Saccharomyces cerevisiae S288C: one gene and its partner. The gene in region 1 interacts genetically with each later gene. Each region holds a gene or a part of one and is shown on either strand. Other genes may lie near its edges.

Region 1 (3,282 bases):
AAAAAGAGCTATATCCGATGTGGAACTTGCACCACTGCGAAGTGGAGTCGCCTTATATCATACAGGATGGAACTAACCTAATATTTGAATTGACCCTTTTCCAAACATGTGTGCTGACTTTATTCAACGAAAGCGATCATTTGACCTTGCAAGTTATATCAGAGCAAACGAAACTGGCGTACAAAGACTTAGCGCTAGTCTTAAAATCCTTCTGCAATTATAAAATTCTGACAAGAGATATTGACAACACATACAGTATCAACGAGAGCTTCAAACCTGATATGAAAAAAGTGAAAAATGGGAAACTACGTGTGGTTCTACCGAGAACCGCGTCTCTCCAAAGTAGCAACACAGGCGGTGAAAGAACCAGTTCTGCACACCACGAAGGAAGTAATTCCCAATGGACCCAAGAATTACTAAAGGCATGCATAACTAGATCCGTTAAGAGCGAGAGGAATGGGCTAGACTACGACCATTTATTTGAAACGGTAAAGCAGCAGATAAAAGGCTTTAGTGTTGGTGAGTTCAAAGACGCCTTGGCCAAGTTGTTACGAGACAAATTCATAACTAGGGACGAATCAACAGCAACTTACAAGTACTAAGACTGGTGCCATCTTATATATTACCTAACTACTGAGATAGTTTATAATCCGTACCAGCCCTAACTTTTTTTCCGACAGCATTTTATTTCCTTTCGTTTTTTTCGACTTCGTCGCTTTCTCCTCCATATAAAAAAACATCAAGAGATAAAAACTATCTTTCTTGTCCTTGTCCACGTTCAATACAACAGTTACACTGCAAACGACATTAGTGCAAATGCAAACTGTAGTCAATTTGCCGTATGCCTGACATACAACAGGTGTTGTATGAGTGTGACAAGGACACTTTATATATCTTTTTCAATCTCTCTATCCGGCCTTCTTGGCAGGATAGCTTTTCGTTTCAATTTGTTAATGATGATAACCAAAGATGCATAGTTCAACTGATTGAACATACTATCGAAATGAAGATAAAAATTTCCATCGAAATTAGTCTTTCGCTCCTATCTGAACATTACAAAAGAAACGAAAACTGTATTAGTAATATGCTTGTAATTGGAGAAGGGCCGAGGGGCGAGACCATTGTGGAGCGATTTTAAACCTCTTGCAGCACGAATCGTAACGGACCCAGCGCGTACTTTATTCTCCCTGTGCATTCGTGGAAGTTTTGAAACTCTTAAAAGTGGGCTCATCTGTCTGGTATTATCTGTGCCCCTGTTCTACATGTACTCGTGCTTTCTTTATTGCTTCTTTCGGTAACTCATCTTGCACATGCTATTCTTTTCGGAGTTAACGAAGCCAGGAGGAACCTTAATGGATTTACCTCTAGCGCGTCAACCCTAGAAGAGGGACTTTTTCCACATGAATAGTCAACTTTTAAGATTCGTTAGTAGTTGTATAGGGACATATATATGCACATATATATAATTATATACTTATACACTTGCTTACAGGGGACATTTTTGACCCTCAAAGGAAGTGAATTACAGGTATTGAATAACAGAAATGTACGAGATGTCAGGTATAGACAGCCTCTTTCATGATCGAGTTGTTCATGATTACTCTCATACTAGTGAGCAGGTTATCGTCGTTTACATTAGTTCAGCAGCCGGGGACAATTCTTGGCTTCATCAGTGGTTCAAACCAGGAAATCTTAGTGACGAGGAGCGCGAAAACATACTGTGGGTAAGGTTAGTAAATGGTACTAAAGAGTGCTTGCTTTTCAAGAGCATTTTCCCCTCCTCATCGGCGCCAAGCATTAACATATTACAGAACGGTCTACTCGAATGTTCTATCCAAGGTAATAGCCTTTCTCGTGAGCAGGATCCTTGGGAAACCTTTATCAATGGGTTACAATCAGTCTTTAAGGGTCAAGTAACAAAGAGGAAGTTATTTTCCAAGAGCAATGAAGAATATCAAAGAGTCAAAAGAATGATTCAGAACGACAAGTTGGAGAGGAAGTATGTTTTTCAAAATACTAATGACCCGCAAAGAAAGCCACAGAAGTGGAAGCAGTTGACAGTTACTGATAATGTTAGTTACAAGAGTCAAAAGGGGTTTCTCGCCCAGAACTACTGTACTCTACAATTGAAACTGCCCAATGGTTACACAATCTCTAATACTTTCCCTCCTCAAACAAAATTACACAAAGTAAGGATGTGGTTAGACTATAATTGCTACGATGATGGAACACCTTACCTTTTCCACAGAAATATACCAAGAGTGACTCTTACGCGAAATGACGAACTCAAAAGTTTGCAAGAGTTGGATCTGTTGCCCAGATCGACTCTCATCTTAGAACCGCTGGAAGCCAATAACAAAACATTCGACTACATGGAACAATCTTCTCTTCTACACAAGGTTTACTCAGGTTTGACATCTTTTTGGGCGAAAGAACCGGAAGTAGATGCTTCCTCCTCCCGTCTTGGTTACCAGAGGTTGGGCACAAATGTGTCAAACAGCGCCAACTACTCTTTACAAAAATTATCTAGCTTAGACATGGTGTCGGACGGGGGAGGAGGAGGTGGTGGTGATTCAATGACTCCTTCAGCATATACTACCCCAAGGATGTATCCTTCTAATGGTACTTCTCAATTGCGACAAAACGTGTCTGAACTAAACTTGTCTTCCAATAATTCTGCATCTAATACCAAAGTTCGTACATTAGGTTACTCTAATAATAACGGCAACAATTAAATGTGCTTTTGTTTATTTCCTATTTGGTTATTCACACATATTTTCTTTCTTCCGTCTATTAAAATATTCATATTTATTTTTTATTTATACATATATATTTATTTATTAGTCACTCAGTTCGTCAACGTGGTTGTTCTTCCATCATGATTTTTCTTATCTCATTATCGTGGTTTTCATTATCTTGCACAGGTCCTTCATTTGTATTTATCTTCAGATTATTCAATCTCTTTAATAGATCCTCGCTACTGCTTTCTTTTGGCTCGTGCAAATCCTGGTTCTTATTTTCTTCCTTATTATTATTCTTTTCATCAAGTTCTAATTGTTCTAATTCTCTTTCAATTTCTTCTTCTGCTTCTTCGTCTTGACCTTTATTATAATGAGCTAATAAATCATTGACCTCTTCGGTACGGTCATGACCCTCTTTAATCTCATCTAGTAAGTCTTCTACTTTTTCGGTAGAACCAATATATCCATTAATTGACTTAATTACTTCGTTGGATTCACTTAAAGTTTGAATTAAAACCGCATTAGTAGCACTGGTGTCTAT
Region 2 (3,610 bases), on another chromosome or scaffold:
TAGTTTTGTTTTGTTTTGCAGAAACACAAAGCGACGTATAATAAAAACTGAAGTTCGCTATCCAAATGTAACCACTTTAGTTCTTAGGAGACATGGTGGAGTCAACAGCATGGTAAATGACAATTAAAGTCATCATCACAATACCGAAGGTGATGGCCAAGGAGTTCAGCTGTTCATCAGAGATCATCTTTTGCTTGCTCTGTACTGGGTTTCTCTACTGACTTGCAAGTGTAATTGTCGTGTTTGTTTCGAAATACTCTTTATTTATTAAGCTTTTATGAGAATCCGAGACTTTTCCAAATTTGGTCCATTACCCGGGGGTTAATATATCTTGAATAAACCATTGTATTATATCTCACTATATAGTAATTGTACAGTTTTGTCACTACTATAATCTATGCCACACCTTGCGGTTGCTGCTACCATGTCACATTCCCATTCTGCTAGATTCATGCAATTCTCTTAATATTTCAGTGGGTGACGTTAGGTAATTACCTTCTTTAAAACTTCATCTTCTTTTTTGTCATGTCTTTGTTAATATCATTCACATCACTTGTTGGAAGCTCTTCATTGCTTGTATTGGAGTTGCCGTTTGGCCCCAACGTCGTGGTGCGAGGAGAGATACCGCTGTTGCGTCGCCTCTTTGCGTGCAAGGGCTCGCTTCCACTGTCCTTCTTGTCGGCGTCAATGTACGCACTTAGGGCGGTCACGGGACTATCAATGTTCTTTTCAATTTGAAACTTTCGAAGGTTTTTCAAAGTAGACATAACGGTACTTATTTGCATGACTCTCATCAACCCTTCTTGAGTGCCAAACACAGAGACGTTTCTGAATACGTCAAAATATGATCTCAGCTGAGTGATGGCCTCAAAATTCGGAGGAACATTCGTAGCATTATTTTCTGCAAAAGAATTCCCTTGCTCTTTGACATCTTCTTGTTTCAATTTACGGAATATTTGTTCAATTTCTGTAGACTTTGTGTCATCACTCAAAAGCCGTTCCACTGCATTCCATTCAATATCAGGGACAAAACTATGCATAGATACGTCCAGCCAATTAATTTTCAAGTCCAAATCGAAAGCACCTTTCATTTGGGAAAAATGTGTAATATATGAACCATCAGGATAATAATAGACAAATGTGACACGAGGACAGTTGAAAAAAATCGTAGAATTACTTAGAACTTGTGTTTTCAATTGTAAAACCTTAACTTCCATTCTAACGATGCCAAATCTGCCTAATGTAGAGCAAATAACTGGGAACACTGGGATGATAAATTCGAATTCTCTATAATCTGTCATAGACTTTTTACTATACCTTATAACTGCATCAGGTGTAAAAATATCTGATATTAATTCTGTCCAGAATGAAAGCAGGCCAATCTTACCCATTGCCGTATTCACCTCATTTATTATTTCGTACAATTTCAACATCGCCAAATTAGATAAGTATTTTCTTACATGATACGGCACCCGTAACATAGATAAAGATGCCTGGGATGCAGACCGTGGTAACGGAGCAGCTGCCGTTGCTGCTGTAGCCATGGGATGGGGAAAGGATGCTACCGGCGTAAACATTGGCATAGACCCGCTGCCAGGGCCCCCAGTTGCATTCGTATTCTGCGCAGAGTTGTGAAAAGTTTGAGTCACTTGTGGAAGCTGGTTAAACACCTGCTGTTCTGATGAAGGCTGTGGAAATTGACCCCCCTGTGGTTGACCTGGAAATGGCACTTGTTGTGGATAAACCGTGGGCGGTATATTCTGCTGCGCGGTGGGAGGAAAGTTAATATTACCATTTGGGTACGGTGGTGTGTTATTATTCACAATGTAAGGCATCGGCACAGCTTGAGGAGGCGGTTGCGGTGGGCCTTGGTACATATTGCAGATAATCTTTGCTTTTCCTTCTGCCCCATGAACAGTGTCAAGTGTTGTCTTTATTGCTCCATAGTTAATATTTTTAGTTCAGGCGGGAAGCCCCACAAGATGAGAAAAGAAATCCGAGAGGCTTAAACAATACTATATGGGGCAAAGTTCTGCTCTATATAAAGAGAGGCGCATTTGCAAGAAATAGTTAAGAACTTTCCATAAATTGGTCAGATATAAATCAATTTATCGTGCTCAAATATACTATTCAGTTTCTCAGATATAGGTTGCACAAATTGGCAAAGTTCTACAAGAGTCATTCATACATCCCCTGATGAGTAAGATACTATTCTGCAAATCTAAAGTGTTCTTACACCCAACAAGCGATGCTAGAGATAATATTGCTGGTTTCCTGCTACTCACATTGGAAGCGAATAAGCTATCCCACCAAGCAATTCTCCAATATATCCCAGAATCTGGCTTATCCACATTAGAGATATCAAAACTACTAAAACATGAAGCTAAAGTGGGCACATGTCCAACTTCTACACCATTTGTTATTGAAAATTCAATAAACTTTAGTAACCTGGTCAATACTTCTTTAGGTCAAGCTTTCGAAATTTCTCTCTCACAAATATACTGCATCCAATTTAGGCCTCCTAGTCCAAATGGTTGGTATGTCGGATCTCTGGTAATATATCCCTTGACAGAACAGTTTACGGGCTTTCAACCTCCTGTCTTGTTCTTTCATGACCAACTCTGCCCATCAACTACGGACAAGTTAAAAAGACTACGCAAATCCATGAACCCATTTGATGACTCGGACGAATTGTATTGGGGTGGCGTAGATTTGAGAAACAAAATCAACGAACTGATGGAACTCAAGAAATCAAACTTAGAGCCAGAGTTTTGGTTAGTAAATCCCTCTTTGAATGATTTGAGAAATTTCGTTTCCAAGGATCTATTGGAAAGTTATAACAATTCGAAGAAAGATACAACTGAACTCGCTACCGCCGGTGTGAAACTAAACGAGAAATTCCAAGAATGGAAATGGAACGTAATGAGCAAGATAGCAGACGTGACTACCAAGTCTACCAATTTTATCGATAGTTGGCTGACTAACAACTCACCCATACAAAAATCACAAATCGACAATGAATACTTGCAAAAGCTTCTGAACAATGAGAAGGTTAAACAAATTGAACAGGATTATGACTCTGCAAGAGTGTATTTGGCAAACTGGTCATTAGGAGTAAAACAGGAAGCTGAGAGGTATCAAAAGCAGAACAAACTCTTTGATTCGTATAGGAATAACATTTTCAACGACCTGAATCTAACTGATGAATTAAGTGATACTGAAATAAATAATGCTCTGCAAAGACAATTTCCTTTAACGGAAGCGAAATGGAATTCGCTATGGGATGAGAACGATGGGAGGCTGAGGGTCACGGTAAACGAAGTTAAGGATTTCATATTTCATGGTGGGTTAGAAAATGACAGTTTGCGAGGGAAAGTTTGGGGTTTTCTCTTAGAAATATATCCGTGGGATTCTTCTCAAGACGAGAGGGTACAAATCGATCAAACTTTAGCCGCGGAATACGATCAATTGAAACTAACCTGGTCAAAAGATTTTTTACAATTTGACGATGAAGATGAAGAGGAATATTGGAACGATCAATTATTCAGAATATCTAAAGATGTGAGACGCTGTGATAGAAACTTGGAGATATTTCAATACAATACCATCG

Evidence for each region. A genetic interaction does not mean that the proteins touch.
Region 2: mutations in UBX6 (region 1) and MFG1 together harm fitness more than expected from each alone (negative genetic interaction), as found in Saccharomyces cerevisiae (one large-scale study listed by BioGRID).

Annotation. Positions count from the first base shown.
Region 1 is NC_001142.9:346,900-350,181, reverse strand, and holds UBX6 (Ubx6p), read left to right. Parts: upstream 1-1,544; coding exon 1,545-2,735; downstream 2,736-3,282. Other genes in the region: cullin RTT101, read left to right, coding at 1-602; YJL047C-A (uncharacterized protein), read left to right, coding at 1,004-1,138; phosphatidic acid-binding protein CHM7, read right to left, coding at 2,857-3,282.
Region 2 is NC_001136.10:35,064-38,673, reverse strand, and holds MFG1 (Mfg1p), read right to left. Parts: upstream 1,878-3,610; coding exon 501-1,877; downstream 1-500. Other genes in the region: olichyl-diphosphooligosaccharide--protein glycotransferase OST4, read right to left, coding at 77-187; GTPase-activating protein GYP7, read left to right, coding at 2,197-3,610. UniProt on the Saccharomyces cerevisiae protein: Transcriptional regulator with a general role in all morphogenetically distinct forms of filamentous growth, namely haploid invasive growth, biofilm formation, and diploid pseudohyphal growth.